Linked DNA regions of Schizosaccharomyces pombe. The protein of the gene in region 3 purifies or fractionates together with the protein of the main gene of each other region. This does not show direct contact. Each region holds a gene or a part of one and is shown on either strand. Other genes may lie near its edges. The genes, in order: syf2, cwf18 and wdr83.

Region 1 (3,169 bases), 1.8 Mb from region 3:
GCGTTTGACTCCGAACCAGATTTGGAAAATGAGGAATCAGAAGAGTTTGAAGAGAGTGAAGGTTTAGAAGCATGCTTTGTAAACCGAGAGAGCTTTGCACTCCAGCTGCTAGAAGAACGAGAGTGTGAACTAACATCAGCTGCACTGTTCGAAAAGCTTGCTATGGAAGGTGCAGTCTCAAAAGTTGTAAGGGGACAATCTAGAAACGATAAAACTGAAACATCGTCGGACAAAGAATCATAGCTCATTATAGAATCAGAGGACGAAAGTGACCAGCTGCTAGAAGAGACCTCTTCATGTGCATTATTAGTCTCTGGAAGAACATCGCTTACTGTAGGTAACGGACTTCCTTCAAGAGCTAAAGGGCTTTCTTGTTCAATTTTAACAGAAACATTATCAACTTTAGAAGCAGGATCTGAATTAACCAGCAATGCGTCTGGTAACTTCGAAGGAGTTTCGGGGATGGACGTGGATGCAGGCATGGAAGTCACAGAGTCGTTATTACCTTACCTTCAAACTGCTCATTACCCAGAAAATGTGCAATCTTCGAATATAAATACTTCTCGTACATCAGGTACCTTTGACATCCTTTATCCAGCCACATAAACAGGTTTCGGTAAAACCAACCTACCCAGTATATGCCAGCCACGCCAGAGTACTTTCTTACGTTGCGCGTTGGGTTTCGGTAAAACAAGAAAGGCTGGTAAAAGCAAATAAAAAAAGCATAAGATGATTAAAGAGCCGTACCTCGTTCCAGATCTTCCTTAATATCTTTCGTGTATTTTGAGTAAAATCTCTGAAGTTTGAGGTTGAACTTTCTGTTACGTTCGTTGATAAATGTAATATGGTCTTCCTCATCTGTACCACGCCGTTTGGTATTTTTTAACCTTCGTTGGTCTTGTTTTTTAATACTTTCCACTAAACGTTCGACGTGTTCCTTATCAGGTTTATTTGACACCCAGTCCAAACGCTCTGCTTCGTCATATAAAGCGACGGATCGAGACTTGCTTTTTTCTTCTTTTTTATCCTTGTCATACTTTTCATAATCCGGCTTCAGATCTCTTATGCCACGGTTGTAATCTTTGCTAGCTTGAGAATGATAGTCTGAGAATGCCACATTCTGAATTGTTTGCTTTTTCTTTCGTAATCGCTGATCCCACTTCTCGCTTTCTTCAATCGTCCAATCCCAAGCTCTTCGTCTTTCAAAGTCTCCTCCTTCTTCCTCAGTTTCGATTTTAGCAAGCTCTTCCTCTGCCTCCATTCGTTTTCGTTCGAGTCGCCGCTCCAAAGCAGGATCAATGCGCATTCGTGAATGCTCTTGTACTACCTCTTTACGATTTTCATGAGAAGATTTCCTCTAAACTTTGGTTAGCCGTACAAAATAGCTAAGTAGTTAACGAACATACCATTTGTTCACGAATTTTTTTTAGTTTTTCAACTCGTGCTTCACGTGAGTGAGAAGGCGAGTCCATTGTGTTTAAAATTCTTTGCCCCTTAGTTTTTTCCTCTAATTTTTAAAAAAACCACAACTATTCAGAAATCAAGTTTAATTGTTGTAGTGTGCTACGCATTTACTCTACACAATTATGTATGAACAAATAATTACCTCACAATATGAATTTACGTTGACTATGGATACTGCTCTATTCATTGTAAACAAAACAAAACAAATGTCACAAGGTAAGGAAAAGTGCTCGGTTTTAAACCTAACTATAAACTCATCGGATTTTACAGGATGTTAATAAAGAAAAAAAGGCCTTTGATCATGATTCATGTTGTGTCTTTGCTCTCAGTTTTCTTATCTTTTTTCCTAAATCCAGTTGGAATAGATTATTGTTTTATGATTTTATAATTTAAAGTAAAACCTTGAGCTTGCTCCTTTCACCGCTAAAACATATCTAACTTTTCTGCATTAAAATATGGGGTTTAGATCACATAAAGCCGAATGATATCAGTAATCCAACTAGCATAGTTAACATCTCATTATTGAAAAATAATTTAATGACAATATGTTTTTAGCTGTGAACATATTACCTTATTTCTGCAGTGAAATCAGATCATCCACGTTATCCTTTAAAAATAGATAAATAATTATTCGAAAGTTCAATGACACATGCGATCAACAGACTTAGAGCCCGTGCCCGTGTTTAAACATTCCATTATAAAAGGGAAGTTTTACTCAAAGAAGTGCCCTTGTTTCGAAAATTTCTTGCCATTCAAAAAACTAAACACTTTAACACAGAACAAGTCGCAGGATTTGACGAATTGATGGGATAACGTCTTTTGCCGTAATACGTTATATCCTCAAGTAGATGCAGAACATTCACCTCTTGCAGGAGAAACGTACATCTTCATCTCTAAGCACATCAACTTAAACCTAACAAGTATTTGGTTTGGATTTCCATAAGAAAATGTCTTTTGTTCCAGTAAACCCGAAACCTTTTTTGCAAGGTCTTATTGGGAAACCTGTCCTTGTTCGTCTTAAATGGGGTCAAGAGTATAAAGGAACCTTGCAGTCTGTAGATAGTTATATGAATTTGCAACTTTTAAATGCAGAGGAGTTAGTCGATGGTGTAAAAACAGGAGATTTAGGTGAGATTTTGATCAGGTTAGTAAATTTTAAATGTTAGAATTCAAATTTTTATCGTGAATTAAATAGCACATGATAATTCAATTTCGAAACACATGTTAGTTTGTTTTTGTCTTATACTAACGTGATTTTAATAGGTGCAATAATGTCCTTTGGGTTGGCGAGAGTACTGTTTAATAATGACAAGTCGATATATAAGGCTGAAGGCTAAGAATTTGTATTTAATTGATTAAAAAACTGAGATTGTTTTTCAACGTTGCATACGCATGACTTCTCAACATATCCTCCCTCGTTTGTTGTATGTATTCGGTTATAAATTTGGATCCATACAAAAGTGCAAACATTCCTCTTAGATTTATTGGATATTGTACTTGCATAAAAATTACTCGTTAGTGATTGGAATTATGCGTATATATACTTTTCATGGAGTGACCTAATTAGAATTGAAGTTTCTAATAATTTGCTACAAAGAGATATAACCTTACACCTTTGTAGAATTTTTTCTCACATCCAATTTTTCTTCATAAAAATCTATTTCGGCAGATGCATTTGTTTTATCGAGTAATCGGATACTGACAA
Region 2 (3,349 bases), on a different chromosome or scaffold from region 3:
TCCAGCTTAAGCCGCGCTCCTTCTACTTCCAAAAAGAGTCATTTTGAAGATATCCTTGGTTTATTTGCTTCTCCGGCGCCTTCAGCTCAACCGGTTGACAGCTTGGCAAGCAGCTTTGCTTCTTTGGACTTTAATGCTTCAGCCAGCCAACCATCAAACAACTTGTCTTTGCTTTCTTCCATACCATCAACTTCCAAATCATACCCTCCTATTGTTGTATTTGATAAACACGATGTGACGTTAACTTTGGTGCCATCCAAAGAAGAAAGTACCAAAACAGCCGTCATTGAAGCTAAATTTAAAAATAAAAATCCAATGACTAGGGTTGAGAAAATACATCTAGAAGTGGCAGTTCCCAAATCACAGAAACTGAAAATTCAGCCCTTGAGGACTACAAGTATGGAGCCTGGTGGAGAAACTTCTCAAACCCTGCGGGTTCATGGGCCATCGGGTTCTCAAGTCAAACTGCGTCTACGTATCTCTGTGGTCCGACAAGGTGGATCAAATACTCTCGATCAGGTAGATTTTGGAAAGTTGCCATCTGACCTTTTACAATAGTATCCGAAGTATGGACAATGCCATTTAAAATATAACGCTCGAGCTATCAAAGAAGATTTCTGACATGATCCATGCTACACTTTTTGATGGGTCTAGTCAGTTTTACGAGAAAATGTTCGTAGAATAGTGAATAATGAGGTAATAGAAAATGAAAGCTCTAATTGTTTTTATGAAAGAAAATAGGTTTTTTTTTATATAATTTTAGCAATTTTCTCGATATGGAATCATGGTATACTTATTGGATAAGTTCACTTATGTAATTTTCAAATTGAGACTTGCTCATTCTTTATTGTATATCATTGAACGGAAATTTGACCTTCCAAACCCTTCATTAAGAAGTGGTCGGATTTAGAATTAAAGCTGTAATATTATTTTAATAGAAGTGCATACCTCCAATACAATCGCAACTAGAAAAGTATAAAATGTAAAATCCTAAACTTATTTCCTTTAACAATTGATCAATGCAATAATTAAGCCTATGAATTATATATTAACTAACAGAGAGTAAATCCAACATTAGAAAGCATTAGTCTTGCTTTAAGCTTTTTCAGTACTATGCGCACGTTCAGAAATTAACTGTTGTATATAAAATGCTATTGCATTTTGATTTTGTGTTTCCAGAGACCGCATTCGCTCTTTTAAATCTCTTTCTAAATCCCATGTAGGCTTTTTAGGTCGCAAAGTTACCAAATCTAGTTCTTCAACAGGAACAGAACTTTGTTCTTCAATTTTTCTCTTAGTCTTTTCTTCAATCTCCTTCGATAATGCTTCAACTGATTCAATCATGTTTGGCGGTTCCACGAATCCCATTTTAGGTGCCTGCACTTCTGGATCATAATTTCGATGCTCAATTACATTTTTTTGAACCTCTTGAGAATCGCGAGTTTTATTCTCTAACTGCTTTATTTTCCTCAATTCCGCTAATCTCTGTTTTCTGGACTCTGCTACCTCATCTAATGAAGACATTTTTTGTTCCAATACAAAAACACAAAATTCGGAAAAACCACACTATAAAACCAGAATGAATGTAGTAAGATACTTTTTTTGTAGTAAGTAATAAGATTAATATCGAGAGATGTTAAAATTCCTAGAATTAACTAGAGTTTGACAATGCACAATAATTCCAGTTCCTAATCAGCAGTATCAAAAAACAAAAACAAAAATTGAGTGTGTAATTTTATATTAACCTAATAGCGACGAACTACCAGATCGTTTTACTTTCTAGTTATTTTTGATAAATGCAGAATATGTATATGAATATTGAGAAGTTAGGAAAATGCAAACCAAGCTCGTTGTTGTCATCTACGCAGTTTGGTATCTGTTTTACGGATACGTAAAACTGCAGTGAGTTTTCCTTGTGACATATTATATTGCAATATGCAGGTAATATAAACAGTAACGTACAATAGTATTATACCATATATGCTGTATTGTTACCTATCACTAATATAGCTTATAACTAAACTTCGTTCCTCAGTTCAGCTAAAGCTCTATTTTTTTGTTTCTAAATAGTTGCTATTCACGGGAATCCATGCATGTAGAAGGATACTTACCCCTAATTATCAATAAACGAATCTTAAAAGATATGTCAGCATATGACATATAATGAGGCGTAATGTAGTACATTATGGCGTAGTGTAATCGTTGATAATTTTTTATTTTTAACGTGTTGTCGCTGAAAATCGATAGTAAAACTTAAGGCAGCAGAGCTTGTCATTCAATAAGTCTGGTTCGCATCGTATACCGGTGCAGCACACATGCAAAAAATTAACTTGCTATTTGCCTATATCAATCAATGCCTCAAAACGAGTATATTGAGGAATCTATTCGCAAGCATGGTCGTCGTTTCGATCATGAAGAAAGAAAGTGAGTAAATTTTTTTGGATTTATTGTCAATTGAGAGTTTTATTAACACTTCTATTTCAGGAGAAAAAAAGCTGCCCGTGAAGCTCACGATGCTAGTCTTTATGCTCAGAAGACTCGTGGTATAAAGGCGAAATTGTACCAGGAGAAGAGACGCAAAGAGAAGATCCAAATGAAGAAAACGTATGTCATGAGTTATTGCTAATAAAAATTTCAGTGAAGTGGTGAAGTTGAGATGTCTGATTTGATTGTTTAAACGTCATGTCGTACATTGATTTAAAAAAGTTTTTAAAGTCTGTTACTAACTCTATCAGTATCAAACAACACGAAGAACGAAATGCTACTCAACGTGGATCCGATGCTCAAACTCAAGGTGCTGTTCCAACCTATTTGCTTGATCGTGAACAAGAATCGCAGGCTAAGATGCTTTCTTCTGCTGTTAAGCAAAAGAGAAAAGAAAAGGCAGCTAAATATTCTGTTCCTTTACCTCAAGTTCGTGGTGTTGCTGAAGAAGAAATGTTCAAGGTTATTCGTACAGGCAAAAGCAAGAAGAATTCGTGGAAGCGTATGATTACTAAAGCTACCTTTGTTGGTGATGGATTTACTCGCCGCCCTGTTAAATATGAGCGTTTTATTCGCCCAATGGCTCTCCGTCAAAAGAAAGCCAATGTTACACATAAAGAATTGGGTGTTACTATGCAACTTCCTATAATTGGGGTTAAGAAAAATCCTCAAAGCCCGACTTATACCCAACTCGGTGTTTTGACAAAAGGAACCGTTATTGAGGTTAATGTCAGTGAATTAGGTCTTGTCACATCTGGTGGTAAAGTTGTTTGGGGTAAATATGCTCAAATCACCAACAACCCAGAGTTAGATGGATGCGTTAATGCACTTTTACTGACTTAGTTTATTTAAGGAAAAATTTATT
Region 3 (3,481 bases):
GAGTAACTGAAGCTTTTTGTATCTTTTGAAACAAATCGGGCTCGACAACTTTTCACGTAAGTCAAAGGATCTTTCTGTAAAGCATCGTAATCAATTGTGGAATCTTTGTTCACGCTATCAGTTGAGAAAAAAGAAGCTTTGCATTCTTCGCTTGTAACTAAATTCTCCTTAGGTTTATCATTGCTTTCTTTTACAACATTAAATGTGTCAGTATGATACTCTTCTTCAGGTATAATTACATCTTTAGGAAGCTTTTCCGGAGCAGTAGCTTGGTTCTCAGAATCAAAAAGCTGTTGAAGCTTTAATGCATAAGCATAATCGCTGGCGCTTTGATCGTGATCGGTGAGCAATTTGTTTGGTGTATCTGTAAGCTGTGCTTCTCGTTTTGAAAACAAATCTTGAATTGTAATAATATTTCGGCTTTTCTCACCCTTTTTAGACGTAGATTTTAAAGAAGAGCCATTTTTCATGCGCTTTTTGGGAGGCATATTATAGACTACAAATATTGCATTATAGATGATATTAATTTAATTAAACTTAATAAAATCCTTTAGTAATTAAATTTCAGCATTCGCTTCCAGCTATTCAAACCACAATTGCAATTGGGGAAATTGAGGTGGTCAGTTGTACTGGTATATGAACAAATCACCATGAACAGTAGCTATGATAAAGTCATCCATAGTAGGATGACAAGATATATCAGTGACAATTGGAGTACCAACAACGGAAGTGGATGTTATTTGGGTTTCATTTTCTAAATCCCATAGATATACTTTACCATCCTCACTTCCGCTGAAAACAATTGTTTCACTTTGATTAAAGCTAGATCTAACTCGGTACTCCATGTTTTTCAGACCGATATAACTTTTCAAGATTTTACCCGTTTCTTGGTCAAGTAGATGAATAGATGAATTTAAAGAAGAGATCAAAGAAAATGATGCGCTTTTAGAAGTCTTGACTGATGTAATGGGATCTATTTAATTTGTTAATTTTTGAAACAAGTGATCACTTACGAGAAAAGTAATCTGAACTCAATGTTCCCTTTCGAATATCATATGTTCTTAAAGTGCCATCAGTTGATCCAGTAACTATAAGATGCTCAGCAATGTCGATAGAAGAAACACTGTCTTTCGCATCTGCTAAGACCTGAATAGGGCTAAAAGAATTAGAACTAAATAAGTTAGTAGAATAAAAACAGAATTAATAGCCCATACCGACAATCCCATAATCGAACTTTAGAATCGAACGAACCTGTAAACAATTAGATTTTGGATTATTCGTAACAATCACACTCACCGCTAGCTAAAATGGAGGAGTCCTCGTTATAACGAATTGTATTAATTTGAGCCAAATGGCCTCCAAGTCTTCTATCTACCTTTCCAGTATTCACGTCCCATACTTGAATGAATTTGTCACCGCCGCAGCTAGCAAATTTTGTACTGTCATAGACTAAATCCAAATCTAGTATTTCATGACCATGTCCAGCATATTCATGTATGCATGCGCCGCTCTTTACATTCCAAAGTCGCACAACCCTTTCGTTACCAGCAGCAAGGACGTACTTTCCAGTCCTGTTATATTTTACGACATTAATAGGTTCTTTTGCTTTAGAGCTCAGCTTAGTTTTAGCTTCCAATCGCATACTGTTTTTGCATTACAAAAGGATGCTAGGAACACGATCTTTTTCAGTTCTTCAACCTGTAATACAGAGCTTGTAAAATGTATGACCGTCAAATACTATGTTTAGACAAGTAAGGAAAACTCTACAAATCACCGCATAAAAATATTTTTTGATTGACGGTAATCTACTGAATTTCAAAATTTTTTTATTAAAATCCAATTAAAACTGTTTTATCGTAAACTGTAGACTCAAGACATGTATCCAAAAATTTTTTGTCGTGGCCCTCTCATTGAGTGTGACAAACTTCACAACTATCCAAATACCAAGATTCCGCAGTTTGCTGGAAAGGTCCTGAGAAATACTCTGAGGAAATCTCCTTTGCAAATTACTTGTTTTCTTTTTTTAATTAGGTTATAATCCGCATAAAACGTGCGGATTGAACTAGAAAATGAAAACTGAATTTGGGTTTTCGAACTTAGTAGGAACAATCTTTTCTAAAGGTAATCTAGTCTTTACTCCTGATGGATTTTCTATTTTAAGTCCTGTTGGAAATCGTGTAAGCGTATACAACCTAAAAGATAACACGTCTTATACGTTTCCTTTTGAAAATCATAAAAACATATCTCATATAGCTTTGTCACCTACATCTACACTTCTTTTGTCAGTGGATGAAGAAGGACGATGCATTCTATGCAATTTTTTGAGAAGAAGTGTGCTTCATTATTTTAATTTTAAGTCACCAGTTGGTGCAATTGAGTTTTCTCCTAATGGCAAATTTTTTGCGGTTTCCTTGGGAAAATTAATACAAGTTTGGCGTACGCCTAATTCTTTAGAGGAAAGGGAATTTGCTCCTTTTGTATTGCATCGTGAATATACTGGCCATTTTGACGACATCGTCTCAATTTCTTGGTCAGCCGACTCTCGCTTTTTTATATCTACTTCAAAGGATCTGACCGCTCGTTTACATTCTGTCGACCCTATCGAAGGTTTTCATCCCTGTGCTCTTACTGGTCATAAAAATACAGTAGTATCGGGGTTTTTTTCTAAAGACCAACAAACCATTTATACTGTGAGCAAAGATGGCGCCCTATTTGTTTGGAAATACTCGCCTCTATTCCAAGCAGGAGAGGTAATTGACGAAGAGGCAGAGGAAAATAAAACTCGGACGCATATTTGGTTGATTAAGGAACGACATTATTTCAACCAAAACTCAAAATTACGATGCGCAGCCTTTCATCCTACTAGCAATCTGTTGGTAGTGGGATTCTCTAGCGGGCTTTTTGGTATATATGAATTACCTTCGTTTACAATGTTATACCAATTGAGCATTACCCAATCTAATATCGATACTTTAACTGTAAATTCGACAGGAGATTGGATTGCTATTGGCTCTAGTAAACTTGGACAATTGCTTGTTTGGGAATGGCAGTCAGAATCATATGTTTTAAAACAGCAATCACATTATGATGCGTTGAGTACGTTGCAGTACTCTTCTGATGGTCAGCGAATAATTACTGGTGCTGACGATGGAAAAATAAAAGTTTGGGATATGAATTCTGGTTTTTGTATCGTTACATTTACTCAGCATACATCTGCAGTATCTGGCCTTTGTTTTTCTAAGCGAGGCAATGTACTCTTTAGTAGCTCTCTTGATGGTTCAGTTCGAGCTTGGGACCTCATACGTTATCGTAATTTCAGAACTTTTACGGCTCCATCCCGGGTTCAGTTTTCTTGCATTGCAGTTGATCCATCAGGCGAAATTGTTTGTGCAGGCTCGCAAGACAGTTTTGAGATATTTATGTGGTCTGTACAAACTGGTCAGCTATTAGAAACATTGGCAGGTCATGAGGGCCCAGTATC

What was found.
Region 1: the proteins of wdr83 (region 3) and syf2 purify together in Schizosaccharomyces pombe (affinity purification with mass spectrometry, with the first as the bait; one study listed by BioGRID). This does not show direct contact.
Region 2: the proteins of wdr83 (region 3) and cwf18 purify together in Schizosaccharomyces pombe (affinity purification with mass spectrometry, with the first as the bait; one study listed by BioGRID). This does not show direct contact.

What each region holds. Positions count from the first base shown.
Region 1 is NC_003423.3:2,683,279-2,686,447, forward strand, and holds syf2 (SYF2 family splicing factor syf2), read right to left. Parts: upstream 1,563-3,169; 5' UTR 1,473-1,562; coding exon 1,407-1,472; exon of another isoform or gene 1,358-1,406; coding exon 734-1,357; 3' UTR 558-733; downstream 1-557. Other genes in the region: cfh4 (chitin synthase regulatory factor), read right to left, coding at 1-482; Sm snRNP core protein Smf1, read left to right, coding at 2,412-2,608, 2,728-2,767.
Region 2 is NC_003421.2:2,404,020-2,407,368, forward strand, and holds cwf18 (protein Cwf18), read right to left. Parts: upstream 1,782-3,349; 5' UTR 1,525-1,781; coding exon 1,096-1,524; 3' UTR 624-1,095; downstream 1-623. Other genes in the region: AP-1 adaptor complex gamma subunit Apl4, read left to right, coding at 1-558; ribosome biogenesis protein nsa2, read left to right, coding at 2,354-2,424, 2,485-2,604, 2,736-3,327. UniProt on the Schizosaccharomyces pombe protein: Involved in mRNA splicing where it associates with cdc5 and the other cwf proteins as part of the spliceosome.
Region 3 is NC_003423.3:874,511-877,991, reverse strand, and holds wdr83 (WD repeat-containing protein), read right to left. Parts: upstream 1,754-3,481; 5' UTR 1,643-1,753; coding exon 1,297-1,642; exon of another isoform or gene 1,252-1,296; coding exon 1,215-1,251; exon of another isoform or gene 1,172-1,214; coding exon 1,014-1,171; exon of another isoform or gene 974-1,013; coding exon 621-973; 3' UTR 524-620; downstream 1-523. Other genes in the region: adl1 (DNA ligase), read right to left, coding at 1-488; pwp2 (U3 snoRNP-associated protein Utp1), read left to right, coding at 2,070-3,481.